3 linked regions of the Pelodiscus sinensis genome follow. The main gene of each other region encodes a partner of the protein of the gene in region 2 in a complex. Links are inferred from orthologs where the notes say so. Each region holds a gene or a part of one and is shown on either strand. Other genes may lie near its edges. The genes, in order: CDAN1, ASF1A and TLK2.

The links.
Region 1: the proteins of ASF1A (region 2) and CDAN1 are in contact, whole or in part, in a cryo-EM structure (PDB 9CVC), measured with the Homo sapiens proteins. The link is inferred for Pelodiscus sinensis from reciprocal best matches to the Homo sapiens genes ASF1A and CDAN1. Residues at the interface, in NP_054753.1 of Homo sapiens: Gln5, Val6, Asn7, Asn8, Val9, Val10, Val11, Leu12, Asp13, Pro15, Asn20, Pro21, Phe28, Asp37, Val45, Ser47, Ala48, Glu49, Ser50, Glu51, Glu52, Asp54, Asp58, Ser59, Val60, Leu61, Val62, Gly63, Pro64, Val65; in NP_612486.2 of Homo sapiens: Arg195, Arg196, Ile197, Asn198, Thr200, Val202, Lys390, Leu391, His470, Glu471, Glu472, Pro473, Gly474, Trp475, Asp476, Lys538, Arg541, Arg544, Leu545, Gln546, Arg548, Leu549, Met550, Ala551, Pro552, Gln553, Ser554, Ser555, Arg806, Lys807.
Region 3: the proteins of ASF1A (region 2) and TLK2 are in contact, whole or in part, in a crystal structure (PDB 7LO0), measured with the Homo sapiens proteins. The link is inferred for Pelodiscus sinensis from reciprocal best matches to the Homo sapiens genes ASF1A and TLK2. Residues at the interface, in NP_054753.1 of Homo sapiens: Val45, Ala48, Glu49, Glu51, Asp54, Asp88, Val92, Thr93, Val94, Leu96, Arg108, Gly110, Tyr111, Tyr112, Arg145, Thr147, Phe149; in NP_001271262.1 of Homo sapiens: Arg11, Arg12, Gln13, Leu15, Leu16, Glu17, Arg19, Phe20, Thr21, Gly22, Val23.

Annotation. Positions count from the first base shown.
Region 1 is NC_134714.1:66,825,737-66,835,629, forward strand, and holds the start of CDAN1 (codanin-1), read right to left. Parts: upstream 4,422-9,893; coding exon 3,972-4,421; intron 1-3,971. Other genes in the region: uncharacterized protein LOC142829135, read left to right, coding at 4,566-5,013, 8,110-8,768. UniProt on the Homo sapiens protein: May act as a negative regulator of ASF1 in chromatin assembly.
Region 2 is NC_134713.1:84,929,173-84,939,065, reverse strand, and holds the start of ASF1A (histone chaperone ASF1A), read right to left. Parts: upstream 6,303-9,893; 5' UTR 6,300-6,302; coding exon of another isoform or gene 6,235-6,299; 5' UTR 6,076-6,234; coding exon 5,967-6,075; intron 4,838-5,966; coding exon 4,748-4,837; intron 3,138-4,747; exon of another isoform or gene 2,606-3,137; coding exon of another isoform or gene 2,580-2,605; intron 1,664-2,579; coding exon 1,548-1,663; intron 1-1,547. Other genes in the region: DNA helicase MCM9, read left to right, coding at 9,504-9,678. UniProt on the Homo sapiens protein: Histone chaperone that facilitates histone deposition and histone exchange and removal during nucleosome assembly and disassembly.
Region 3 is NC_134739.1:5,112,063-5,121,955, reverse strand, and holds the start of TLK2 (serine/threonine-protein kinase tousled-like 2), read right to left. Parts: upstream 5,487-9,893; 5' UTR 5,020-5,486; intron 3,395-5,019; exon of another isoform or gene 3,392-3,394; 5' UTR 3,387-3,391; coding exon 3,306-3,386; intron 1-3,305. UniProt on the Homo sapiens protein: Serine/threonine-protein kinase involved in the process of chromatin assembly and probably also DNA replication, transcription, repair, and chromosome segregation. Phosphorylates the chromatin assembly factors ASF1A and ASF1B.

The sequences.
Region 1 (9,893 bases), on a different chromosome or scaffold from region 2:
GCCCAAGCGCCGCGCACCGGGAGCCGGTGCGTGTCACGCGCCTGGGGCCGGCACCGGCCCAGGTTGTCGGCGGGCGCACACAAATGCCCCGGTGGGTGCCATGGTGCCCGCGGGCACCGCGTTGGGGACCACTGGTATACCTCATACAAATTGGGAGGGTCTCCAAGCTCATCCCTAGAAGGTCATTGGTGGATTCGCTCAAGAAATTCATCTGCAACTGTAGAATTACAATTAAGATCTTCAAAATGTTCTTTCCAGTGAAAATTAATAGCTTTGTCTTTCATAAGTGTGGTTCCATCCTTTGAACGAAGGGGGTTCATGCCATGCCCATAAACAGCCTTAATAGCACTAAAAAGACGTGATTATGGGTAGCCATAAAAGTGCTGGAGTTCTTGTGCTCTCTCGGTCCATCATTTGTTCTTGAGTTCTCTGGTTTTACATTGGACTTCCGCCTTTACCTTAGCATGGGCTTCTCTCTTTGTATTGCAATTTCTTCTCATTGATGAATTGTTTGATTTCAACATCATTCTCAAACCAATCCCAATAGTTTCTGGTATGATAGCCAATTGTTTCCTCACAAGTATTGAGGATTGCTGCTTTCAGCTGGCTCCAATGCTCCTCAATTTCCTCCAGAAACTCTGATGGAACCTTTTCTTATAAGGCTGCTTGGAAGTGGTCATGCTTAATGGGTCCTTCAGATCTTGACCCTTCAAGCTTGCACCTGATCTGTTTCTTTTGCAGCCCTCATTTGGGGGGCTATCTTAATTTTCACTGTGGATCAAATGAGGCAATCATCAGGCCAGCAGTCATCAGCACTTGTCATTGCTCATGAGAAGTACATCACTACAAACTCGAGCATGAACTATGACATAGTAAAGAAGATGCCAGTGCTTTGAACATGGGCCTCTCCAAGATGTTTTGAACTTTTTTTTGGTCAAGAAAGGGTGTTCATAATGATACGTTCGTGTTCAGCACACTTGGTCAGGAGCAGGATTCCATTTGAGTTGCTTTTGCCAGCTCCTTCTTTCGAAAACTGTTCCTTTACACAGATATCAGTCTTGTCTAACGTGCGTATTGAAATCCCCCCCCCAAAATTCTTCTCTTCTTTAGGGGTCTCTGATAAAATGGTTTCCAGCTGAGAATAGAAATCTTCCTTTACATCCTCATCAGCGTCCACTGTTGGCACACAGGCACTCACAATAGTTACCTCGGTTTTTGGTGAGCCTCAGATGATCATAAACTGCTTATTGATGCCTACTGGCACCTCAGAGAGGCATTTTACGAGCTTGTTCTTAATAGCAAAGCCTACTCCATACAATTGAGGTTCATCTAAAGATTTTCCCTTCCAGAAGCTCTCTCCTCCCTCACCTGGTTCATCAGCTCTTCTAGTTTCAGACTCTTCTATTCTCTTGAGGCTACGCTTACACTGGCAGCTCAGTCGTTCTTCCGCAAAAACTTGCCGGCTGTCTACAATGCACGAGCATTCTTCCAGAAGTAAATTTACAGTATAGCGTCATAAAACAGGATTTCTTCCGGAATAAGCCCTCTTGTGCAAGAGCTCTTCCACAAGAGGGCAGTGTAGACAGGCAACATGAATTTCTTGCGCAAGAAGCCCCTATGGTTAAAATGGCCATCAGAGCTTTCTTGTGGAAGAGAGTGTCTAAACTGCCATGGATGCTCTTGCACAAAAGCACATGGCACTGTTGATGCTATCTTGCGGAAGAATTTTTGCACAAGAACTCTTCCACAAGAGAGTTCTTGTGCAAGAAGCTGCCAGTGTAGACGTAGCCCAACTGTACTGGAAATACCACACCTGATGTATTGTAGGGATATAAGCAACTAATCGACCAGTCGCTTCACCCCCCCCTTGCTGCCTCTATCACAAAGAGGCAATGAGAGGAGGGGGGGGAAGGAACGGGTGCTGGTGGGAGCCGGCTTAAAAGCCAGTTCCCCCCAGCTCCAGCTCTCTGGGAGTGGGCAAGGGCACAGCGGTGGCCAACTTTGAAATGTCTGGAGCTCTTGTACATTTCAAAGTTAGAACACAGTGGGGAGCCCAGGCCAGCTGGGAGTTCCGCTGACCTGGGGTTCCACATGGCATGCCTGCTTTGAAATCTACAAGAACCCCTGAAGAAGTGGGCTGTGCCCACAAAAGCACATGATACCATCTACATGTTTTGTTAGTCTATAAAGTGCTACCAGGCCATTTGTTGTTTTAAGTTTATCCTGTACAGACCAACTCGGCTACCCCCTGAAACTTCCAAATAGACAAGTAATAGAAAAAGCCAAAGTGAAATGATTTGCCTAACGTCACACAGTAAGTCAATGGCAGAGCCAGGGATAGAACTCCAGGTACCTTGGTTCCAGGTCCAGAACTCACTCATGAGACCTCAAATCTCTCATTAAAGCAATATTCGACTATCTGGGAAAACTGCACAAACAATGACTTCACACTATAACTCAATTTTATCTCTTTCCCTTTTTGAAAATTTTTATTTAAAAACAGCAATGTCTTTCCCTAACCATTTGACCTTTTTCCATGAGCTATAGATTTTTCTCCCATCGTGGCTCACAACCACATAGTTCAGCTACATTTATACAACACTTTTCTTCCCCAAAAAATGCCAAACACACCGTAAATGTAGTTAACAATTACTAACAATTCAGCTACTCCTTGATTCACAATAACTATCACATTAGAAAATGTCATCTGCTCAGCAGCCATGCTATATAAATTTTAGAAAGGAAGCTGAGAGAAAAAATGTAATTACTTGAGCAGGCATTTGGTAAAAATGGTGTTTACCAACATAACTTCTAATGTATGACAAATGCCAAGAGACTGTAATAAAGTGCTTTACATCACACCTAAGAGATGTCATTGACAGCAGCAGCGAATCCACAAGCACACCACAGGGGCAATAAAACAGAACTAACTCAGAGGGATGAATTAAGTCTATTAAGTTACCACTCTTCCTGCAGCATCCTGGATTTTTTTTGGAAGTCTCTATATTCAAGTAGTAAGCAGGCTAGGCACCCTCTTAGCTTATTAGAACGTGCCTTTGAAATTGTGTTTGATAGCTGCTTGCTGCAAAACCAGCAGATGGAGCTCTTAAACTACAGGGATCCTCACATTTTAGGAATAGAATACAAGAAAATTTTGTGAACATTCTGTAAATAGCCTAAGCTCTAGAGATCCAAGTGTAAGTTTATCTGGATAGCCTGTCCAACTTTCATATGACCAAGCTTTCTTCAGCAGCAACAGATCACAATAATAGCCAAATAGCTTTGTGGGTCACATCAAGGGGTTAAGTATTAGAGAGGTAGCCGTGTTAGTCTGAATCTGCAAAAGCGGCGAGGAGTCCTGTGGCACCTTATAGACTAACTGAAGTGTTGGAAACTTTGCCTGGGGGAAACTGCCAGAAACAAAAAATCTGCACCTACTTAATACAAAACTCCTCTTAACACACCAGCACAGCGCATGGAAACTAGGGGCGGTGCTGAGAGCGGGAGGACGCAAGGGATCACACACACCTGGCATTTTATTTTGCAGTGGGGCTGGGCCGTTGAGGAGGAACACGCTACAAACTCTTTTTCGCCGCGGCTGCGGCTCCTCCCCCCTTATTTTCCTCCAGCCCGCAGAAGCGCTGACTGCCCCCAGGGCCCACCACACAGGGTGCCAAACTAGACGAGCTGCCTGCGCGGGCGAGAGTCCCGGCCCCAACCTCGGCTGGACTCGGCCAAGTGGGCTGATCCCTGGGGCCTGTCGGCTGCACCGGCCGCCCGCAGACCGGTGCTGAGCTCGGCTTGCGCTTCCCACCCCGCCGCAGGCTGCCCCCCTCCATGGCCCGAGCGCGGCAGCCCCCGGGAGAGCCCCTAGACGCCAGAATCCGGTTGCTCCAGGCCACCGGCCCGCACGGGGCAGGGAGTCCGGGCTGCTGCAGGCCGCGGCCCCTCGCTGCCGGGCTGCGCGTTACCTCAGCTGGGTCGTGGCTGGGGCCGTGCACGAGCCACCGCACCACGGCGTCCGGCGCCACCTCCTCCCGCAACAGCAGCTCCAAAACAGCCGCCATCCCCGGCCGCCGAGCAGGCGCACTACGCCGCAGCGCGCGGACAAGCGCGGCTGCGGCAGGGCCCGGGGGCGGGGCTGAGACGCTGCACCACGCGGGCGCAGGCGACGGCGCCGCCACTAACTCCCTCGTGCGCCGCGGGGGGGGAGGGGCTAGAATCGGAAAGGGCGGGACCACACGATAGGCGCCGTGGGGCGAGTGTGATGCCAGAAGGGGGCGGGGCTCCAAGGGTCGGTGCCTCTGGTGGGCGGGGCAAGAGGGGGCTGTCACGGGGCGCAGTAGGTATTGCCATTGGGGCGCGCAGCCTCCCTGCGCGGGGCGGGGCGGCCCGGCCACCGACTCCCGCCCCCTCCCCATGTCAACAAGCGGGGCGCGCGGCGCCTGCGCTGGGGGCTTGCGCGTCCCTCGCTCTCGTGCGCGGCGTTGGTCTCCCGAGCAGGGCCCGGGCTGTGGCCTAGCGGCGGGCGCGCGGCGATCGGGGCGGCCCGCGGGCCGGGCAGGATGATGGCCGAGGACTCGCCCAAGCGGCGCAAGGCCAATTTCAACGAGGCGGAGACCGAGGTGCTGATCGAGCAGGTGCTGAAGCACGAGCAGCTGCTGTTCGCGGCGGGGCCAGGCCGCGCCTCCCCGGGCCAGAAGCGGCGGGTGTGGGAGCTGATCCGGCACAAGGTGAACCCGGTGGCCGCCTGCCCCCGCGACGTGGAGGATCTCAAGAAGCGCTGGCGGGACCTGAAGCGCCGCGACCGCAGCAAGCTCTGCCGCCTCTCGCACGGCTGCGGCCCCCCCGGCGGGCTCGGCCTGCTGCTGCCCACCGACGAGATGTCCCAGCCCGCCTCGCAGCCCGACCACCACCGCGCCTACGGCTCTGCCATGGGCCACGCCGAGGCCGTTCCCATCGTGGGCGGCATCGACACGCTGGACCTGCCGGGAGCCTCCGTGGTGGACATCGGTGAGCCGCGGGGCGGGACAGCGGGGCCCCAGGCGCCCCCCCGCCAATCTGGGCCTGCGACGCGGCAGGAGTCGGCGTTGTCATGGAGCCGGGGGATTAACCCCCCCCTCCGGCCCATGCCCCCTGCAGAGGAGTTAGCTCAGCCTCTGTGCAGCTCCCGGCGGCTTTGTGCTGCTTCCCCACGTCCGGCGCTGAAAGGGGGGCACCTGTCATCAGCCGGGAGCGGCGGCTCCCAGGTCCCCCTCTCCCCCCGCCGTGGCCCGGCTTCATTCTTAATGATGAGATTTTTTTTTGCCCTGTCGGGGACCCGTACGACCACGGCCCCTCTAGATGTGGCTTGAAGCTCTGCAGCCTGTCCCAGAGGTGCTTCCTAAGGGACAGACCAGAGCATCACTCACCCCCTTCCCCTCAACTCCTGTTACTCACATGAGGCAGTGGTGTAATGTACAAAGGACACAGGTGTAAGTGAGACTTACCCCAGGCAGTTTTCGGTTTGAAGCTTTGTGCTTGCTTATGCCCCTGTCAGTGACGTCTCCATCTTCCAGTGGTTTTAGGGACCATGATGCATAGCTCGCTTGTGTGAAGAATCAATTTGTTTTTTGTGTTATAGCAGTTGCTCATAGTTATATCTAACTGTAAAGTGTTTCTAATCTAGAAAATGCTTAGGCTTTATCTACACAGCAGTGTTATTTTGGAATAACTGACTGTTCCAAATAACAGAGTCCATGTCTAAACACAATCAGTTATTTCGACATAATATCAAAATAATGTCAAGCTGGAGGACTGCTTACTCAGACTCCTGGAACCCTCATTGTGTGAGGAGTAGGGGAAGAATGCTCTATCTTAAAATAACTGCTGTGTAGACAGCTCCAAAAGTCTAAATAAGCTATTTCGCAACTTAAGCTACACAATAAGCGTAGCTCAAGTCCTGTGACTTATTTCGAGTTTAGCCCTGTTGTTGAGGGTGTGTCTAGACTACCTAGTTTTGTCGACAAAAGTGGACTTTTGTCGACAAAACTATACCAGCGTCTACACTACCGCTGAGTTCTGTCGACATAACGTCGACAGAACTCAGCAGTTTTGTCGACACTGGTATACCTCATTTTACGAGGCATAACACCTTCTGTCGACAGAACTCTGTCGACAGAAGGTGTTATTGCCTGTAACGTTGCGTCCAGATTACGGAGTTCTGTCGACAAAGCAGCTTGCTTTGTCGACAGAACTCAATGTGTCTGGACGCTTTGTCGACGGAAGTTTTGTCGACAGTATCTGTCGACAAAACTTCCGTCAACAAAACGCGGTAGTCTAGACGTACCCATAGACTCAGACACTTGCTTCACTTTATTCCTCTAAAGTGTAACATTGATTTTAGTGGGATTACTCTTGATAGTCAAGGCAAGTAATATAAGAACCAAGGTTTTAAGTAGTATCTGTTCACCTGATTCTGTGCCTCAAGAAGGAAAAAAACTCCCAGAACACTATCTTATGAGTAGATTGTATAAAATATCAAGTCACAGGTAATTATAGTTGTCAGAAGAAATGAACACAGTATGATTTAAGAAGCAGAGCCTTTTCTTCATTTACTAATTCACCAGGGGTCACAGTTGTGTGCAAATTAAGGATGTTCTACTGTCCAAAATACTTTTTTCAACATAATTTGTTTATAATGGCTTCCTCTTCTTGCCTAAATCAGATAGATGGTGAACTGTTGGCAGGTTTTGCTTTATAGGCAGTGAAAACAAGTGAACAAACAGTATAGACCCACCTGCATATATGCAAATTTGGATCATTCCAAACACTCACAAGAAAGTATTCCACCTTGCAAATCCCAGCCTTTGTAAAATGCAGCCAACTGGTAAATTACACCCTGTTGTGTGTGAGCTGCAAGGTATGAGCATTAGTGCAAGGAATCAGAGGCCAGGTCCACACTGCAGGGGAAGGTCAAGCCCCCAAGGCTCGGACCTCCTCAGCACTGGGGAGCCCTCACTGGAGCTCAGACTCCCCCATTGTTTCCCTACTATGGAGCTGGAGCCCACAAAATCTACTAGCCTGGGCCTCTTAGGCTCTGGTGTGCAAGGGGAATGTGGGGAGTGTCAGTCAGGGGCCATGTCTATGAGGGGTTTGTTTTGTTTTGCTTCTCACTTGAGTGCAGCCCCCAACTGATTTTTCTGTGGGTTAATGGCCCCTACCCAACAAAAGGTTCCCCACCTCTAGCTTAAGCTATGCAATTCCAGCTACATAACAAAATGTAGCTGGAGTCGGTGTACTTTAAGCTGTGTTTTGGCGCCATCCTCACAGCGGGAAGTCGATAGAACACTTCTATCTACTTTCCTTAGTCCTCATATGGAGTAGGAATACTGGCACTGACAGGGGCACCCTGAGCAATTGATTTAGCAGGTCTTTTACTAGACTCACTAAATCATACACCAGAAGATCAACTGCTGCAGTGTTGATCTTCCCACAATTGGAGACTTCTGACAAGGAGGAGTGATTCAGAGAGGGTGCCACTGTGGGTCTGCTTTGCAAATACTGGGTTTATTGTGCTAAACTTGGAGAGAGGAAAATAAGAGCTTGGAATGAATTTAGTCTGTTCTGTATCACATGCTTTTGACTGATCTGTTGGGGAGTAAGTGATTTCAATGGGAGGGCAGGTCTACAGTACAGGTTCAAGTTGATCTAAGCTACACAGTTTGAGTTGCATTAGTAGCATAACTCAGGTCAGCGTATCTTAAATCTCCCTACCTTAGGGTCCACACCGTGCTGGGTTTCTCCCATCAACTCTCCTTACTCATTTCATTCTGGTGGAGTACTAGAGTCGATTCTGAGCAATCGGCAGTCAGTCCCTGCTGTTGTGGTGACAAAGATTTGCATTGCTGAGTTATGTCATTTACAGTAAGCATGTTTTGATTATTTCAAAGCGTGCTATGAGTGTAGGAGATAATACAGTACAACTCCTCATTGTAGGGTCTTGACATCAGAAGAATTAACTACCACATAAAAAAGCCAGTTGTACTCACGGGGTAGGCAGAGGTTTGATTAAGCACAGAGATGATGAAGTCTGACTCCTATTTCCATTTCTCCTCTATGCCCTTTTAGGGTTTACAGATGATCCTGGCCCATCCCATCAACCCTGTCTTGAGAAGATGAACTTAAAAGAAGAAATAGTAGTGAAGGTAGTGGAGCCAGAAGAAAGTTCTGAGGACATGGCTGTGGTTCCACCTAGCCAGGAGCACTTGCCCTTTCTGGGAACAGCTGGGGGTGGCTTGTCTGGGAAAGTAAAAGCCAAAACAAAAGGCCGGTCACAGGCAGACCAAAATGAAATTACTGAAGAGGATTTAATACAGATTCAGCAGAACCAGATGCAAGTGATCCAATCTGGCTTTGACAGTGTCAATCACAACCTTCGTTTGCTGCAGCAAGGCATGCAAGATCTCAGCAACAGCCTCAGTATTATGGCACACACACTGGTGGCTATCAAAAATGTTTATGTGAAAAACAACACAGGCCCAACCACCTATGCCACCACTTCTACTCAGACCACTGCAGGGTATCTGAGTCCTGGGTCTCCCCAGATCTCCCCAGCTGAAGACAGAGGCAGAGTACAGATGGCCGGAAGCAGCAGCAGAAGCAGCAGCTGTAGTTCTAGTTCTATGTCTCAAGAACCAGGCCCTTCGGAATTTCCTAGACCACCCCTGAGAACCATTAAGAAAGAACATCCAAATGGCTGCTACTATTTCTGTTTTGCAGATGTGTAAAACTTGAATATATGTAAAATGACTGATATTAGAGGTGCTGTTATGTCTGCTCCAGCCTGTGACTATAATGGAGCCAACTGGACTTGCCTCCGGCTTTTTTTTTTTTTCCCCAGTGGGGAAAGTTTTACATTAGGTGGCATTTAACACTACCAATCTCCCATTTGTTAACACCAACTGTTTGCAGTTGGTTAATGTGTCTCTTCTGTTTTCTTCCTTATCCTCGTTCCAAAAAATCAAATTTATTTTGACTAAGACTCTTGTGTGTATCCTCTTTGAGTTAGTGACGTTTTGAATATAAAACGCATGATGGAGTGGGGTGCAAAGGTAAAGTTACAATTATTTAATAGCAGGAGCAGAATCTGCTAGTTACACAAGTTGAGTGTTTTTAAATTCAACTGCAAAAATAGTTGACTTTAAATTTAGTGTCTGCTATTTTTATTGTATTTTTAAAAAGCCCTTGTAAAAAATCTGAGCTGTGCAAGGTACCCCAAGGGTTTGACAACGTTACGTCCTCAGGGATTGAATAGAACTAGGCCGCAGAGCTGCTGATCCATGAGTGTGCTGCTCAGATTTAATCCAGCATTGTTCCATCTGGTCACTGGTCACTTTCAGCTCTTCAGATGCACCTTCCCTGCAGAAGCATTTTGCTTAACTGCAATGAAAGTGGAGGTTACTTGTCATCATTTAAAAAGAAAAACAAACTTAGCAAAACAATATTTCTGATGTCTACTTTCAATATGGAACTGGTCTATCTTAGCACCAGGTTCTGTCTTCAGCAGATACAGCATGCTTTCTGGGGACAAATATCATACCATCTGAAAAAAACCCATTGCCCAGAACTGACAGTAAACTTGCTGCTCAGAATATGCCAGTTAAGAGTTTGACTTCGGTTGGGGCAGAACAAGTGCTCTTTCTTTGCTCTTGAAAGAGTTCCAGTTGCTGGGCCTCTGTTTGGACAGAAGTGGTAGAAGACCTTCCATTCCCTTATTATTTATATCATAGCACTTAAGAGCCCTACTCATTGATCAGGACCACATTGTGCTAGGCACATTGAAGAGAAATATAGTTCCGTACTATGTCTGGAGGTAAAAAAGAGGATGGAAACAAGGAGAGTCTGGGAAAAAA
Region 2 (9,893 bases):
CTTTACTGCTTGGAGGGAGAAAACCAGTATTGAAACCTAATTAATAGAGAAGTGCTTAGAGAATGATTTATATGTAAAAAGCTGATAAATGTATCCATCTTCCTGCTCACTGCTGTGCTTTTGACCTGCACTGTAAAATTAAGTTTTCCTTTATCTGGAAGTTTCAGATGTGCTCTGAAGCATTCGAATAATTGGGATTTACATGTTTATTCAAGATGCCTTAGATATTTTCTACACACAACCTGACACCATCCTTAAAACAATTGTATCAACTGTCAGAAATATAGAAGCTCTTTTCTATCTCCAGTTATTTTCTTTAGTTGTATGCATGCACACCAGTGTATCTTTGCCATACAATCACAGCAAAGTGCAGTTGTGGGGGTGGAAGTTCAATTCTTCTGTAAGGAGCTAAATTTAGTTTTAGTCTGACACTTCTGCCACTGCCGCCACTGCCAGGGCATTTTAGACCTATTTTATCCGATGAAGCTAGCATTGGGTAAACAGAGGTTATGCAGAACTAAGGCTATGTCCACACTACCAGCCCTACAGTAGCATACCTGCAGCACTGTCACTTGTTTTCCAACAATATAGTCAATTGACCTGAAGAGGCAATAGCTAGGTCAGTGAAAAAATTCTTTAGCTGACCTAATGGTTTAGGTCAGCTTAACAATGTCTCTTGGCATTGACAGATAGGTTGACCTAAGTTTTTAGTGTAAAGCACCCCTAAGTTTTAGGTGTAGACCAGGCCTGAGTCATGGTTTTGTGATACAGAGAAAGCTCCCCTGAGAATTAAAGCGAGACTGATACCAGAGCAGTGCATAAAGCCCCTTCTCTGCTCTCCTCTCCCCATTTCCCTTGCTCCTTGCCTTATTTGTAACTCTTTGGCTTCCTCAGTTGGTAGTTCTTAGGATTTTCAAACATCTGAAAATGTGTGGGTGAGTCGTGATCTTCATGTGTCTCCTTGACATGCTTCAATCAATGAGAATCCCAGACTTATTTCAGGACTTGGGAAACGGTGTTGCAATTACAGCATTATGGCATGAGGAGCCAAACATCATGATGCAATATTGTCTTGCTGACCAAAGACAGATGGCTATTCTATTGAACTGGTCACTGGGGCCTAGACTAACATTTATACTCAAAAGTTTCCCACAATTGCTACCAACACTACAACCTCACCAGTGGTATAGGTGTTGGGAAGTGCTTTCATGTACCAGCTAAATGGCATTTTTAATCACTGTGTTGTCTAACTTTTCCCTGAGCAAGGCTAGTCAACAGAGTGGTTACAATGCCAGTAGCCACCAGAACCTTGTCTAAACTAGTCCTCTCCTTCCCCCATTCCCTCATTGATACCACAAGTGGAACTGTAACTGTAGGCTATTTCAGGCAAAACAAGGACTCATGTAGACAGATTTTCAGGAGTTGACATAAAATAGTGTTTGCTAACATAAAACATATTATTGAAATGCTGCTTCACTTTATGCTGGCCCCATTTAAACATCAGATTAATTCAACTGATGTAAAATTATTGAAAATAACAAACTTACCTGAAATACAAACATGTGCCTTCCTGCAGGAACAGGTCCTACTAAAACGGAGTCTAAAACTTGATCATACTCCTCACTTTCTGCTGAACCCACATAAATTATTTTCCATTCCAAATCTACATTAAAACAAAAACAACATTTTACAAAATGCTCACAATTTTCATCTAATTTAACTGCCTCTCTTTGGAAAAGTCAGTCCATTGCTCTAGGTAAGGGGCCCCACATCTTGCTTATTTAGGACATTCACTCAAACTTGCCTCCATAGCTGCTGGCCTACAAAGGCTAAAGGGTTGTCAACAGGAGAAATTTATTGGCATAATTATACTGCTTTAAAGCTGATGTAAAGTTGTAGTGGTATAACTAAACATAAGGGAATGGATCACTTGTTCATTTGTACCAACACAGCTCTACGTATGCTTTCTAAGTTTTGTTGTTACCATTAGTTTTGCTGCTAAGCTTTGCTGCTACCATTATTTGGAAATAGTATCCTCCCCTCTCCCCTGGAAAAGGGCTGTGTAATGCCATTTTTAGATATAGATGGATGGGGAGAGATGGACACTGAAGATAGACACAGCAGGAACAGTTATATGTGGGAAGTAGTGAGCTCATTCACATGTGGTAGCCATGGTATAAAGAGCAGCACAAAATCCAATTTTGGGTCCCCTACCAATTTTTCTTTTTCAGAGCAGGATAGTTGTTAATTGAATAGATAGCTCATTGTACAAATATACATACATCTACAAACATTGAAGAATATATAATTATAATATTGTGATTACAGGATACTGTTAGTAAAGGTTTTGGTGTCTGGCTGTAACCTGAATCTTAAGACTGAATTATAACCATTTTATGTAAACTCTGTGTTTTATTGTTTCATAATACAATTTAAAGAAACGTTAATAGTTCATATTTCTTAGCCCATTTGTGTTGCTGTGCTCACTCTTTGCCCACACTACCTGTTTAAAAACTGAAACTATCAACTAACATCCATTAATTTTTATTTCCACTTATTTTTTAACTTTCACTTTCTAGATAAAACACACATACAGGAGAACTAACCTGCCAGAATTACTGGATTCTAAACAAACAAGCAAAGGTTGCTCTGATGGGTTATTCTTATTGAAAAATGCCATTTGTGATTTACTTTTTTGAAAATAGAACTTATTTTAAAATGTTTCAAAATATTGCCTTTAAAAAAAACCAGGTGTGACCCATTTTCATCTTGTGTATCAGTATGGAACAGTGTACTGATTCTGTATATATGCTGTCATCAGCGCATACTCTTGTGTCATTCCATGCTTTTCAATGAGCTTCTCTGAACAGGTGCGAACAGGAGTCTATGCGAGGCACTCCTGTTGCAGGATAGGAGCCTAAATAAGGAAGAAACTGCAACATTGTAACAACTTGGCTGCTTTACTATCTTTTATCATTTAGCACAGCCTTTTATGTGTGTTTATTATTTAAGTGGCATAACTCATAGGATTCAGGAAAGAATTTTGGGAATACCAAGACAAGATATCAGATTAGATGGGCAAATGGTCGGATCCACTGTAGCAATTCCTGCTATGTAAATAAACTATATAAAATTGAGGATTGATGGTTTTTGTCTAGAATTTTCCTTGCACATCCATTATAAGCCACTGTCCCAAAGCACTGTTTAAGTCATTCTGGACTGATAGTTAGGGTTGCCAGGTGTCCAGTATTGGACCAGTATTTGCAGCTTCTATCCAGTTAAAAAAAAAAAAAAAACCAAAACCAGAAAATATCAGACATGTAAAATGTCCGGTATTTTCTGGGTTTTTTTCCGGACAGAAGGCCACTTGGGACATTCGGGAGTGTAGGATTTAAAGGCGTCATGACTTTTTTTGTGGTTTTTTTTTTGTTTGTTTTGTTTTGTGCTCAACTAATTTTTTCCCCCGCCATGTTCAGTATTTTTTGTGAAACTATCTGGGAACCCTACTGATAGTATAAAACAGATTAGGAATCATATGGGGGCACGGTTACAGGAAGTAAATGCTCTTTCAGAATTGTATGCAAAAAGGGTAATTATCAAATCCTATTAGGACTCTGTGTCCAACAGTAACTTTTAAAATTGTTTTGACTAAATAGATGAAATTTTAAAATTAAATTGGCAAGTGATTGGTCTGCTTTGGAGAAAAAAGCACAATAGATGACTGAGATATTTAGTGTTTGGACATTAAAGCAAGGACACAACCTTCTTCATAAAATGATGAAGATTATTTGAAGATTATTTGTAATAATAATCATTGTAATGACTTCTATGAAAGCTCAATAGCTGTGGCCATATGGAAGTAGATGTGGTGATTGTGATGTACCTCTACTTTTCATTCTCAGCTGAACACAGGGATAATAGTGCAAAAAAATGAAGTAAACTTCTTTTTTCTGCTAATTTATACACTAATCAACCTGGCCCAACTTTCATTTAAATCAATCTGGTGTTGAGAGTGATAAATACAAATGCACATACATAGGAAGAGAGGGCTGAAGCTCTTTGCAGCATTGGTGGCATCCAAAAAGTCTTAAAGAGTAACACCATGGAAGCCTTGTTTACACTTGAGAAATCTTTAAAAAATTTCTCACTGGCTCAGCACAGGTGTTTACCATGAATCCCTACAAAAAAATGGCAGCTACTTCTCCAACTAAAAGAAATGGTGAACAGCACTAATACTAGGGTAGCAGTAAGATAATTTAAGCAAGTCTTAATTGTACACAGGGCCCTTATGGAGAGTGCCAGCAATTATGATAGACCAAAGGTGGTGGTGTTTTCTGTGATGTGGACACTTGCTCCCCATGGAACTGGTCTCACCAAATGCATTTTGTGTTAAGTCACCAATACATAATAAAGTAGCAATGACTGAAAGTTACAGATTTGGACTGGATTTGTATTAGTGGCACAAAGATACAAAACACCCCACATATCCCATTACCCAAGCTTTGAACTGTTTAGTCACCCATAAAGTAAAACCAGAAATAAGTAAGTTTATTTTCCCCTACTGCTTAAAATGTTGGGATCCCCAGGTATCACATGTCACTGACAGTGTTAGGGTATAAATAGCTCCTAATGGTTCTGCCCTCTTCATGGGGGACACAAGAAAGCACAAGCTGAATGCCTTGTGGCCAAAGGTACTCCCACTCCTCCCTCAAATGCTTAAGATTGGTCACTAGCCTGCTTCATTCACCTGTTGTGCCAGTGCTCCTGAGGGAAGCTGGAGGAAGCTTGCTCCCTTCTTTTAGTCCAGTGGTGAGACCAGGGGTCCCAGAGTGCTCCTCTGGCCAGAAGAGAAATGGATTTTACTTTCTGCTGTAAACATCTTGTTAACCTGCAGCACTGGCCCAATGCACTGTAGGACCACTGCTGTAAACCTTTTTGGACGATGCCTGTGGATTGCTAAAGTATTTGGTAAGAGTAGCCAGCCCTGGAGGCGTCGCAGCTGAGCGACACAAGAGGTTAATGTCTAGTCCACCCCCTTCACTCAGGAGTGGGTGGATACATGCTGACCGCACTCCCTGCACAACGCACCCCGCTCTGGGCAGGCTGGGGAGCAAAAGACTAGGTTTGAAGACAGAACCTGAGATTCCTAGCTGGCAGGACATAGCAGGGTACACCTACACCCCCAGGCTACCACCCAACAGCAACTTTCAAGTGAGTTCTAAAAATACTATTTCCCTCCCCCGCCCTCCCTTCCTCTCTCTCGGGGCGGGGAGTGTTAATAGCCGGAATAATACTAAATCTGTAAAGGGATTCAATCGGCTAGTTTGATTATTTTCAGACATTTTGTAAAATACTAAGTGCTGCAGCTACATTTGAATCTCTACTTGGAGCAGCCCACCCCTCTCGAAATATTTCCCCCCAAAGTATTCGAATCGATTGTCAAGACAATGAAAATATTTTATTTCTTGGGGGTGGGGGGTGTTCTCCACTTTGTGCAACCTTTCGGCAGCATTCCTCTTGGCTCTGCTCAGCAACAGTTCACTTCAGCAAAAGGGATGCATGAGAGATGTGCTCGTTAACCCCCTCCCTCTCTCACACACACACAGACACACACAAACACAAAGCTGGCAACATGGCTACCACCACTCAAACAAGTTCCTGGCAACTTAAGCTTACGTTATAAAATGCAGGGTTTGGATCCGAAATACAGCAGCACTCAACTCTGCAGCAGAGGACACAATAATCAACTTTCCTTTGCCTTTCAGCCTAACCGCGTCAGCCTAAGACAGAGCATTTCTAAGCAGCATTTAGATGCCTGCCAGCACATCCTTTCATCTAGTCACACCGAGACAGAGAAAGAGAAACTGTTAAATAGTAGAACCAGGCCTTTGCAAAGTTTAAACCGTTTAAAACCTGAAACTAATAGCCCTGGTTATAAAATCCGTACTGGGGAAAAATCTACTCACCTTCAGACAGATCCTCTATGCATTCAAACGTGATTTCGAATTGAAAAGGATTGTAGAAAGGCGAAGGATTATCCAACACCACTACATTGTTCACCTGAACCTTTGCCATATTTTGAAAAAAATACAAACAATAGGAATAGGGGGTTAATGCAGCACAGTAAAGTCCAATGTGTTGTTTTTTTGTAAAGCACACACTCCAGTGCCAGTACTTGATCAAGGTTGTAGAGCTGTGACTTGAGAAACTTTTTTTTTCTTTTATTTACAATAGGAACACTCCACACTGTTTTGCAGCTTTCCTATTTCACTAAACTACAGCCCATTCTGCTCTGTTAACTGGCAGCGTTGGCACTGATTGGCTGCACACTGAGCTATGACCCTCCTCCTGAAGCTTCCTGAAAGAACAAGATGGGCTCCTTTGCTCTGAATGGACTGAAAAACATTAGCTGCTGCTCCACCTGCTGGCCCAGAGTAGGAAAAAGGCTTGGAACAAAGTGACTAGCATAAATGAAACTGGGAGGAACTAATGAATGAAGGATGAGCTTGTAGTCTGAGTTTGAGTACTGTGCTCACAAAATATGTGCAAGGCACCACTGGATGGAGTTGGCTTTTTGTTTTTCCTCTCCTTGTTTATTATCCCCCTCCCTTTTTTCTTTTTTTCCAAATCCAGGTTTTCTTCTCTGTGTGGCCAGATGATGAATAGAATTATTTCATTAAGGAAAACATAGTTGAAGTTGCTGATTTTTTTTTCTCTTGCTAGTTTTAAATCTGTTTACCCTCATTGACTTTATTTCTGCTGTATAATGGTGCATTTCAAATAAACCCATGGGATTTAAGGGACCAGGCCTGAAATCTTTACATGAGAAGTTCTTGCTGAGGGCTTGTTCACACTTAAAATGAAGCAGTGCAGCTGCACCATTGTAGTGCTTCAGTGTAGACACTAACTACTAGGGATGCTAAACTGCATTTAATTAACTGTGTAACCACTAAAAATTTCAGTAGTGGTGGGGGGCAGTTGGCTCCCACCTTCCCCCCGCCCATGCTGCTGCCTCTGAAACAGAGGCAGCAGCATGGGGGGCAAGAGGACTACTCAGCTTCTTGAGAGCCAGTGCGCATGGGGAGCAGCTTTTAAGCCAGCTCCCCACACATACCAGGAGCCTGCATGTAACTGTGAAGGTTAGTGGATGAGCCCAGGTGATTATGCATTCACATCACTTCTAACTACATGGACGACAGAGCTTCTCCCATCGGTGCAAGTAATCCACCTCCCCAAGAATTGTTCTGTCAATGTAGCACAGGTCTACACCAGGAGTTCAGGAGGTCAGTATAGGAATGTCTTTGAGGGGTGGTGGATTTTTGACATCCTTGAGAGACATAGCTATACCAAAGTAAATTCCTTCTGTAGACCAGGACTTATACAATTAAAGTCTTTGATGTCAATGGCTCTCTTCACTTGACTTGAGAGTAGGCAAGAAATGGCTGTGGGATCCAATTTGTTATGTTTGAAGAGATGCTAGATAATGAGGTACAATGAGCTGGAACAGTCCTCAAGGTCCATATGGAAGGGGCCTCTTCATGAAGATCTCACTCTTTGCTCATGGAAGATGGGGCAATGACTCAGATAAGTGGCACCAGGCCCCTTCCCTCTAGCCTCTGGAGAGAGTAACTGGCAGGGTCATGGATCTGTGGCTGAGAAGGAGCCAAGATGAAAGACTGCGTGGAATGTCACTCACAATTCCCTGGGAAATCTACTCACAAATAAATACAGGTTCAGTTTGTATTAATTTCTGAATTGAGCCCTTGAGTGTAATGGAGTGTCTTATCTAAGGCAGTATTTCAGAGGATACTGCCTGCATGGAAAGTCTGAGCAATGCTGACAAGGAGCCTGTAGAGATCTGGAGAGCAGTGCTGGACGCAGAGATTCTGTGTCTTCAGCAGATCCCTGAGGGTTGCAGTGAGGTTTCCTCTCAGAGGCTCCCTCTTGTATGTTCTTCCAGAGCAGGGGACAATCTTGGTCTGTATTTACAAAGAAATTATACTGTCCTGAATATGATCTCGACTGTTTTTTATGCTTCTCACAGTGCTGGAATTTACTTCAGTTTTTATAACTGCTATTTAAACAGCCAGATGACATTGTCTACATTGTACTGTGCTTACTAGAGTGAAGCAAAGTCCAAGAGATCAGGGAGGATGAGACAAAATGAGAAAGATTCATCATGGCCAATCTCCCTAAAAAACATGTAGTGTGTCAGTAAAACAATTCTATGCTTATTAATTCTTCACTGCCTATTGGAAGTATGGAACTGCACTGACAAAAACTGCACCAGCCAAAGGGTTGGTGGTTCCTGGGCTCCATTAAGATCTTTGAACCCATTGCCGTTCTAGCAAGATGATCTTTGGATTGGATGTGGCCCTAGCATTCCATAACATCTTTAGGAGCTATGGAGTGTGGGGCATAGGACCATGTGTGATTCAAGCAGTAATGGAGTGTGGGGGGAAAGAGCTTGGGAGAAGGAAAGGGAGGAACTTGGCAGAAGATAAAAGAGAGATTAGGAGGGGAGAAGGGGAGTTGCAGATGTTTAAGGATGGATGGCCATCCTAGTAGTTGTAGTTGCAATCTCAAATCCCCTCATATTACATAAATACCTACTGATAGCATTATCCTGAAGTTGTTAACTCCTCTTCAGAACTAAGTGTTATTAGAGAAAAGAACTGACTTGCTGGAGAAAGTGAAAATTGAATAGTCTTGATATGTAAACAAGAAATGCATCAGGCAGAAATTCAAACTCTTCAGGGTCTCAGTGCTGTGAGGCTTAATTACAGCACGTCACAATCAGCTGCGTCCATTTGCAGATGCAGTGGGGAACTTTTTCTTTGGTTTCAATACCCATGGATTCCTGCTCTCATGTTTCACTTAAATTGGACATTCAAATGAATCCAATAAACAAAGAGAAACTTTGTCAGACCCAGTTCACAGGTTTGTGGAAACAACAATCACTTCTGCTTCACGAACTGAGGAGTTGGTCTCTGTGGAAAGATATGTTAAAATGATTTATTTTGCAGCATTTGTTGAATGGTCTTTTTTTTTTTTTTTGATGCCTTAAGTGTTGATAGTGGATCAGTTGTGTTCCTGGCATAACTTTGCTAATAGCATTGAATTTGCACCAAAAATTAATTTGATACGACAGATTTAGTCCTCTCTCATTCTACTTCCTTTTGTAAATTGTTCATATCGTAAAACCATCACCTTAAAATGTGGCATGCTTGGCAGATTTTCCTGCCATTACCTGGATTGTTATAGAGGGGATGTTGTACCAGCAGGTCTGAATTGAGGTACATTAGCAGAACTCTTTGGTGAAGCTTTTAACACCATATCTTGGGAGGTGCACCGTCCCCTTATTCCCCTGTCAAAATTTTAACTTCTAAATGGGGTGCTTTCTCTCCCTCTTCCTGGCACTAGCTAGTTTATTTCATCCCTCCCTTTCTTTCAAATGCACACATACTTTAAAAAAATATTAAATTGGAATGAACATTCTTCAGGTTTGACGGTAACTGCAGTAAAGGATTCTGGAGAATGGAATTTGGAAGCTGGTGCACTCGTGCTTGCAGATGGAGGTCTTTGTTGTATTGATGAGTTTAATAGCATCAAGGAACATGACAGAACCAGCATACATGAAGCAATGGAGCAACAAACCATCAGTGTAGCTAAGGCAGGGTAAGTGACATTTAAATGCATGTGATGAAATAACAAAATGTCTTTTCTCTCAATTCTGAAATATAAAAATAAATGTTAGATGTAGGTTTCCCCCGACCAATTTACATATTTCTTTACTATACTATACAGTTTTGTTTTAAAATTTCAAGGGAGACTCCTTTGCGCCCCTGTCAAGTTTATTCCTGGTGGTGGATTTCTGATGACCACCTCTCTTT
Region 3 (9,893 bases), on a different chromosome or scaffold from region 2:
AACTGTATGGCAAGGGTAGGTGCCCAACAAGTCACCACTGCTTTGAAGATATATAATTACATGGCTGTTTCATGTAGATGGAATTCCATCAATTGCCTAGACTCAAAGTTTTCTTGCACCTATGACTTCAGTTATTTTAAGGGTTTATGAAAAGGTATATTCTTTGATTTCTGAGGCTGAGGAAATTCAGTGAGTCCACACTGGTTTTCAGGTAGAAATACACTCTTACAAACAGCATTATTTTCCCAGGTTTGCAAATGAACAAAAGTTAAAAAAAACCTGTATGTGCTGTAATTAGTAATAAGAATACAAACTGGCCTTTATTTATTTTTCACAGGTCTGATTTGTGCTGTAAGTTTATGAATAAATACCAAGCAATAAGCCAAATTAATAAAAGGCAGGAAGATCAATGTTACAGCTGCCTGGTCTATTCACCCTGTAGCATCTGAGGCTACACTCTCTTTCTTTTATGCAACAAATGGAGATAGACTATTTTCCATCCCAAGAGGCGAGTACCAATCCCACTAGATGGCACTAATTCATTTGAAGTATCTGTCCTTCCACACCCAACTGAAGAGAGTTAAAATCTCTCTTAAATCTGTTAAAAACCATATAATATGTTTCCAAACATGGACACTTTGAAATACTGAGATACAGATGCCAGTGCTGCATGTGACGGGCAGAGATTTTGAAAAAGCATTGGCCCAGTAGTCAGTGTCTAGGATTAATACTCGTAGAACAGTAGAATCTCCACTTAAGCTCAACTGAAGAAGTGGGGTTTTGCTCATGATACCATATGTCTCTAGTGTGCCACAGGACTACACATTTTTAGTAGGACCTTGGTAATTTTCATGAGTGGATGGGAGATCCATTGCAAATTAACAAGTAAGAGTATGAAGATAAATAAACCAGCTATACCACAAGATGTTCTCTATTTTAAGAAACATAATAGTTTTAAACTAACAATGCCATATTTTACACTAGACAAATTTACTACTATACAGTCCTCTCCTGTGTGCTCTAGGAAACGAGAAACTGTTGTTCTCTTTAGGTGGATCAGCAATTTATGGTTCAATGGCATGAGAATTAGCAAGGTAATTTTCATTAACTTTAATAGTGGAAGAGCATTTTTCTCCCAATTGTGTAACATTAAGTTTTGCATGCTTAGATCTGCTTAAAGTTATTTCTTTATAAGAAGTGGCTTCCTAAAGTTAACATTCACCTCAGTGTTAATATTTAGGCACTGTATAATATAGACAGACGAGGGTCCTGCCCTCAAGAAGCCAACAATCCAGGGGCATGTCTGCATTAGAACTGTGTACTGCTTTAACTATACTTCTATAGTTAAAGAGGTCCAACACACTACCACCACTACTCAAAAGAACGAGCACAATTATATCAGTATAGCTCACCCCATACTAAAACAGGAATAACTATACTAATGTAAGTCATCTTCATCCCCAAAAAACTGCACCCCATTAGAGTTTTTACCTATATTACCATATAAGTTTAAAAAATAGCATACCTAACCAAAAGTTTTAACACTAAAACTTTTCAGTTTTGGACCAGGTCTCAGCTTCCTTTAAGTTGCAAACTGTTTACTTACTGATCTACTTCCAGGGCTTCATAATACAACTGAAGCACAAAGTAGGTCAGAAACAAAGTATGAACTTGGATATAACCTTTCCAAAATTTGATGTATTTATTTTGTACTTTTCATCACAGAAAGGTAAATTAGTTTCCTCTGCCCAATATGATTCCAACAGGTGGCTGCATTTTTTATAGCAACAAGTTATCTAATTATATTTCCTTTCTAGCTTGATATGGCTTGAAACTCAGTGACTTTCAAGTATGCAAACTGGAATGTTATCACTGTTCCACCATTATTTGAGAACTAGAATGGTGAGAAAAATGAAGACACACTATTATAGGCACTATAACAGTACACACAGAAACAGATCAAATCCAATCCTGGAATTTTAAACAAAAGGACGGAAATGACATAGCTTATTACTGAATGCCTTACTCAAGAAATGCAACTGTTATCCAGGTACAAAGTCATATATTAAGAGAAGGGTAGGATTTGGGGGCTGGACTCGATGACCTCCTGAGTAGGGATGTTAGTGAATAGTTGACTAGAGTATCAACTACTCACTTCATCTCCTGCCTTGCTGCCTCTAGGAGAGGCTTAAAAACTGGTTCCCCGCGGCATGGCTCCCTCCATGGTGCTGCCTGCCCCCTCTATCACATGCAGCGGAGAGGGGGGGGGGAGGGGAAGCTGCTCTATCCACAGGGGCCCCATTAGGGAGCTGGACCACCAAGCAGCCCCTGTTCGCGGTGGCCCGAGTTGGCTGTGCGCAGAGGCTGCTCTGGCAGCCAGCCCTGTTCACCGTGAACAGGGGCTGGTGCCAAAGCAGCCTCTAGCCGCCACAAACCGGGGCTGCTGGACTCAGCGCAAGCCAGGACTGCTCGGTCCTGGCTCGCACTGGTCCAGGACACTGTACCTCTGTATTTTAAATGTAGTAAGACCAACTGGGCTCTTACTACATTTAAAATGCTCGAGTCAGCTCCCGGAGGTACCCTCGCTGCTGCTCTGCAGAGTGGTCCTTATCAACTAATCGTGTAGTCGAAACAAATTGTATCGACCACATGATTAGTCAGATAACCACAATTTAACATCCCTACTCCTGAGGTCTCTTCCAGCTCTATGATTCTATGATTTTGCTAGCAGGTTGCAAACCTAATTATACACAAGCTTACCCTTGAATAAGTAAGTTTTGATTGATATGACCAGGGCTTGCCAGCCACACGGAAGGGCATACGCTAACCGCGCTGCGCGGCCCCGCTGGGCTAAAATCTACTCACCACAGGCGAGTAGATAGTTATATCCAGGGCTCAACAAATTAGGCTAAGCTTGTACAATTTCAGTTGTTCTCAAAGAAGAACAAATAAGCTACTCATCTGTTTCCTAGACAAACCCTTTGAGATAGGAAAAAGATGGCCTATCCTCCCTCTTCCAAAACATGTGTGTGGTGCATGGCTTTTTTATACTAGGAAAAAAAAAAAAAAAAAAAAAGAGCAAGCCTTCAAACTCTCACACACACCATGATGTCTATGTACACAGAGGCAAACTCGTTATTTTCAGTATTGTATATTCTTCTTTACACACACTTTAAAATAAGTTAGTGGACAAAGCAAAATTACCAATGAACAATTTCCCCTTATTGAAACAGCACTACTTCTCTGTTAAAAAAAAAATGGTGTGCAAGGTATTTGTGCCTGCTCTCACAGGCACTTTTACTTACTTTGGCAACACCTACTCCAGTGAACCTGGCTTCCAGCAGTTCCTGGCGTCGGGGGTCCAGGCTATGCAACTCTTCCATCATTTCTGCTGCTATGGGAGAAAAATATGCTATATTAGTCAATGCAAGGAAAAGGGAAAGAATGTATTTTCTCTGGCATTGATGATGCTCAAAAATAGCTGTAGTAACAAGTGACTGTATACAAATAATTTCTGTCATGCAATATAGATTCAAAATGATCATGTAGTAAAATGTGACTTGCCACCAAAATGTTACTATTTTAACCAGGGCCTATTCTAGAGAGCTCCATCATCTGACAGAATTACCACTTATTGGAAATTTCTTAACTGGAACCTCAGTCCTATTGCTAACCCTCTGATTCCACCGTCTTCCCATTGAGTATTTTGTTAAATTTCTTGCAGACAAAACAGAAGGGGAGGGCGCTATAGCTGAAGTCTTTAGCCCTACACTAGTCAGAAACTCTCAAACATCCTTCATACCCCCACTATTCTCTGTTTTTGCCATTCACTGAAGCACTGGATAACTCCAAATGCCCTACAGCTACTAGGGCTTTTGTGACAACTTCAGAGACAAAGCCTAGGCTCTTCAGGAAAAGGATGAGATGGAGAATGATGCTTTTTTAAACTTCTCCTTTTACTAAACAATGTACCAAATACTCAAACACACAAGTTTCTCCCATATAGTTGGATGCTTCTGGGTACTTCCAAGTGATCCATTAAAACTGGCACCATTGTATGAAACGCTTTTTTTTTTTTTAAAGGCATCCTTGAGTCATCTGGTTTAATTCTTGAAACGTACAATTTCAGTGTTAATTGAAAAAAAGTGAGGAATTGCAGAGTTTATTAAAACTGTGATTCACATCTTCTTAACTGCATTCGGAGCAAGTTCATAAGTTCCAGAAATATCTGTTCCAGTTTCATTTCTCCGAAAGAGATCATGGCAGGAAAAAAAAAAATGAGAGAATACAGATTTGCTGTATAAAGATCATATGCTACATGGAAAGTTCCTGAAGGGCAGCAAGTGCCCTCTAGAAAAGCCACCATATAATTGTTCCTTTTATTGACTGTCCATTTTGTCCCCCCAATCTCATTTCCTCTCATCTCCAAGGTGCTGAGCGAGTCCATTTGGGGGCATTCACACCCTGAAGAGGCCATAAAAGCCCTAACACACCGAGCCACCGGATTAATACAACCCTCTGGTCTCCATTTAACAAAGCTGTCAGTGCTCTCCCTTGGCAAGGAGCGCAGCGATGGAGGGGCGGCAGGGGCGCCCCACCAGCAGGCAGAGCCTCCCCCACCAGCGTGGCGCGGCCTGGGGACAGGGGTCCCAGCCCTGCAGGGGGGCTGAGGCGGACACACGCGGGGGTGTCCCTGCCCCCCGGGGGTGGGGGGCGCCCTGGGGCAGACCTGCTGACAGGCCGCACCCCGGGGGCGGGGGAATTGCCCCACACCGGGCACGATGTTTCCACACGGAGGGATGTAGCCCCCCCCTCCCCCCAGTCCCAGCTGCGGCCCCGGCCTCCCCCTCACCCGAGGCAGCCATCGCCTCCACTGCCAGGCCGGGGATCCGCAGGCCGAGCCCGGCCCGCCCCGTGGCCTGGCGCGTCCCCCCCCCGGCAGCGGGGCCAGGACCCCCAGGGCGGGGCCGCGCCCCCCCCAGCCCCCTAGCAACCGCCCCCCCCCCCCGCGGCTCTCACCTGGCGCTGCTCCCCCGCCGCTCCTCTCCCCTCCGGCCCGGCCCGGCCGCTCCCCGGGCCCCGCTCGGATCCCGCCGCCGCCGGGGGCAGCAGCAGGGCGGGGGGAACCTGCTGCGGCCGCCCGGGCGGGAGGGGGAGGCCAGGGGCGGCTCCGCGGCCTCTCCTGAGCCAGGCGCCCCGCCGGCGCGGGCAGCGAGCTCGGCGGCTCCGAGGCGGGGACGCGGGGCGAGCCCCTCGCCGGCGCCGGGGGAGGCCGCGGATCCCCGGCCTCGCGTAGGCGCCCCGCCCGGGCAAGGGGCGCGAGGCGCGGGGAGGGGGCGGCGGCGGCCTCGGAGGACAAAGGCCCCGGGGAAAAAGGGGGGGGGCGGCTCCGACGAGCCGCGGGGGGGGGCACGAGAATCCGGGGCACCCCCCTCCCTGCACGGTCAGCCCGAGTAGTCGGCGATGGGGGGGTGGGGCGGGTGTCGGGGCGGCCGGGTCCGCCCCCTGGTCCGACTCGGCCCGGCCCGGTAGGGATCGATTGGTGCAAAGACACACTAGTGAAAGCGCGTGTTCTCTCGCGAGATTTGCACGGCTGGGGGGGGAGGGGAGGTCAGTGCTGGGAGGGGGGAAGGGAGGTCAACGTAGGGAGGGGCTAGTGTCTGGGGTGGGGGAGGTGAATGCGGGGAGGGGAGGGGCTAATGGGCATGGGGAGGGGGGAGGTCAGCGCGGGGAGGGGCTAGTGCGTGGGGTTGGGGTTTGTGCCAGGGGAGAGGACTGTGCATGGGGGGCCAGGGCACCTGGTAGGAGAAGTGGGGTCAAGTGTAGAGGGGAGGGGCTCCGTCCTGGAGGTGAGAGGTTAGTGCCTGGGGAGGGGGCGTGCACGGGGAAAGTAGAACGTGCAGAGGGCCAGGGTTCAGCACAGTTGGATTAGTGCATCGGGGAGGGGATTGGTGGAGATTTATACCCACCCAGGTTGTTTCACCCTCCAATGAACTGCAAGGCTGCTGCTAGGGGGCAAAGTGGGTGGCTGACGTTTTGCTCAGGGGTAACCTGGGCGGTCTTGCTCCCCCAGCCAGGAGGGTGCTTTCAAGGAGTAACAGACCAGGCGCAGAGGAGCGGAGTTGATGCATAAGAATGATCAGTGCGAATCCACTTTCCCTGCTTTCTGCTTAACTCCCTGTGGCATGAAGGGAAAATTCCTCCCCATCTCCACCCAGAGGGAATTCCTCCCTCTTCCTGAGCAACAGGGGACCTTGTTTGCAAAGACAGTCTCCTGTTCCCCAGAGATTGACTCCAGGGCCTGAAGGGAAGAGTTTATAGGCAGAACATCCCCAACCTCCCAATCAATTGTGCCTCTGAGGAATTGCGAAAAAGACATGAGAAAACAAGAATGCCTCTTCCCTGATTTGCCATTTCTTCAATCTTTTTAACAAGCTCCTGATTAAACATGGATATTGCACATAAACAGCAGGATGGGCAGTCAAAGCAAACTAAGTGACTTTAAAATTAACCACAGACTTTCCTGGCACTTTTACAGCTAGGGGTTTGCTCTTGTAGTTGCCTCTTGCTAAACTCCAGTATGAAAAGGACTTAATCTCCCCCACAGTAGCCAGACTACCTTGTAGTTTGTTCTTATTCCCTTTTCTTCCAAACCCTGGGGCATCACCAGAGAGAATATTAAGTGACGCTAAACAGCACTGCAACTCACTTTGCTTTAAGGCTGAATCAGCTTTCTGAAAAGCAAACAAATTGGGGGTGGGGAAGGTTATTCAGAAAGGAAGTGGCCATGCCTGTCCAAGTGGAGGCAGGCGTGGATTAGGGACAGGAAAGGAAGTTGCTGGGATTTTGGATGAAATATTTGCCTTCCAAAACTACAGTGCAATGGTAAAGGTGTTCTAGACAATATGGCTGCATGTCAAAAGAGAGTCAGCCACTGAAGTCAGATTTACTTGATTGCAATAAAGAGAACGTACAGTCGAACAGGAATCTGCCAGTTTGGCAAATCTGAGGATACAGAGTAGGACTAAGGGAATGATAGATTCCATTGGAATGTACAAGAAAAGGCAGTAACCTGCAGTGCTGAAAAGAACTAATATTTTATTTTAAAATGGTTAGTTTAACAGAGGTTAAAAACGGTAAGGTGGGGAGTAGAGGAGGCTGCTGGGCACTTGCTTTGCAAATCACTTTGAAAATGTCTGCCTTTTCTCGTAAACTGCATTTCCTGTGCTTTAACCTATTTCACAGCCGGAGATCCAATCTGAGGAAGTAGTAGCAAAATTTCAGCTCCCACCCCGAGATGCACCGTGGGGACATGAACACTGACAGGGACCTGTGCAAACTGTTTTGAAAGTTGACTTCTGTTGTGCATGTTTCTTAAGCCATCTAAATTATTACAACTTATCACCACAGTTTAGAGGATGATTAGTGACATTTGGAATTTTCATTCATAACATAAGTAAACTTCATTGGTATAGTTACAAATCAACAAGAGAGAACAGAAATGGAAAGGAGATCTGGGAACTCTTATATCCAAGAAGCAGGTCAACTCCAGCAGGGTCTTAACTGCAGTGGTTTATGTCTGTGGATCTGGATGTGGCTTTAGAGCCATTAGTTCTGATGGTCGATCATCTCCTTGAGGCAGGAAACAGCAGTCAGACACTCAGGCTACTGAAGCGATTTAGTTATACCAGCAGCCTTGAGTCACGTAGCAGAATGGGTGTGTCACTTCAGTATGGTTTTGCTCATTCCTTTGAAGAAATTCAATATTGCTCTTGATCCACATGCTGCTTTTCCTCAGTTGTGGAGGGTTCAGTCGCTTGTTCAACATGTGAAATACCTGGGGGAAGAGTGAGAGATGCCACAAGCTGCATTTTTGTCCTATACTAAGGGTCCTTAGCTCTTTGGGTATGAGCCACAAAGATACTTAGACTCCCAGGGGTGAAAGTAACTTAAATTTCTTACAGATACTGTCCTAAGGCAACCTGCCCCTCTTGGGAGGGCTCAGAGCAAAGAGTGGGGGAGGGGGTTGCGATGCAACTACCTGTGAGAAATGTAAGAATGGGGTGGAGTGCGGGGGGAGAGGGTTGGGGCTTGAGGGTGTAGGAGTCAGGATTTAGGTATGAGAGGAACTCAGGGCACGGATGTAGTTGGGGGGAGGTGCAGGAGTCAGGGCCGGGGGTTGGGAGTCTGGGGGAGAGGCTCAAGACAGGGAGCTGGGGTGCATGTGTAGGAGAAAGGGGGGGCTGGGATGGCTGCTGCCTGGTTACCTTTACCTGGCTGGGGGACAGGTCCCTGCCTTGCTGCTCCTGTTTGCTGCATGGCCACAAGGGAGCTGTGGGGGCTCCAGGGATACCAGCAGCAGTGTGAGCTTGCCACTTCCCTTCCCCTGGCTTCTTCCCAGGGGCTGCTGGCAGCCGTGCATGCCACGGACTGCACAAGCGCTGCCTGGCATCCAGCGAGGGGGGCAGCAGGACAGGTGTGGATGCACCAGTAGCTTGGCTGGAAGCGTGTCTCCCCCTTACAGCGCATCCCAGCCAGTCCCTTGCACACCTGCCTGCCTCACCTGGCTGGGCACGCCAGGTCTCCGGCACCAGCCTGCAGGAGCTGGCCTGGGAAAGCATCCCCCAGTCAGCTCTTGCCCGAGCGGCGCACCGCCTTACTTTCACCTCTCTCCTGAGTCCCTTAGGCTCCACTCAACTCCTACGTGGCTGTCGCCTTAGCCCTGGAAGGTGCCTGTTCTCCCTCAGCACCGTTTTTGCAGGAAAAGATGCCCAGGCGCTCATGTGTCTGGCTCTGGGCATGTGCACTCCTGCATCCTGCTAGTTGCCCAGTTATCTCCTCTGGCTCCCCCCCATAACTCACAAAGCAGGGAAGATGGACATTTTGCCATTCACGTCGTAGGCAGGGTCCCACTCTGGTAGGTGTACCCAGAAGTGACCTACTGGATCCGGGCCCCCAGACGCGCCCACACAAAATGAGAGAGAGGAGCTCATTCTAACCTTTAGCCTAGTGCACTCACCTTGCGACCCCTGGTCCAAACCCCCCCTCCTGCGAGAGAGAAGGAATTTGAACAGGCTGCGGCCCCTCTCCACTGAGGGCTCTAATTGCTTGGCGGTTAAGTTGTTCCAAGTTTTTCTCAGCCCCAATTAATATTTAATTATTCTGGTTTTCATGAGAGGGGAACATCTGCAATAGGAGGGATTGAGGAAGCCTCACATCAGAATACTCCATGATCAAGTGGTCAGAGCACTCACCTGAGAGGCAGCAAAACCCTCTTCAGATTCCTTCTCTGCCTCGGAAGGAAGGGGTTTCCTACACTCTGGCTGAGGGCCTAGCCACAGACTTCCCCTGCCTGAGGGCTCATTAGCAGAGATAAATGCCATCCGGCTGCCCAGACTTAGCGCCTATTTCTGAGTCGGGACAAGGCTTAGCACGTCCCCTCTTGCTCTGCATCTATTGGCTGGCTTAGGCAAAGGATGTTAAATACTGAGTAATTTACTAGTTGATTGACACTTCCGCATTCCTCCTTTGAAATGTACAAGAGCCCCAGCAGGTTATGCACTGAGATGAAATGCACATCTGAAATGCACTGAGCCTGGGCTGAGCTGTGTGGTGCTACCAGGGCATTTCAAAGTGGCAGCGCACACGAAGCCCAGGTACAGGTTCTGTGCGGTGCTGCCGCTTTGAGGTACCCCCTATTCCCCCCTGCTTTGCTGCCTCTATTTCATAGAAGCAGCAAGCTGGGGGGGGGGGGCAGGGGGAGATATCGACTAGTCAACTACTCCTTAACATCCTTAGCTTAGGCAGCTCCCTGCCTAACACACATGCTTGTGGCTCACCCTCAATATGGAAACCTGGGCAGTTAGCTCAGGCTTTGGGTATCGCAGGGTCGT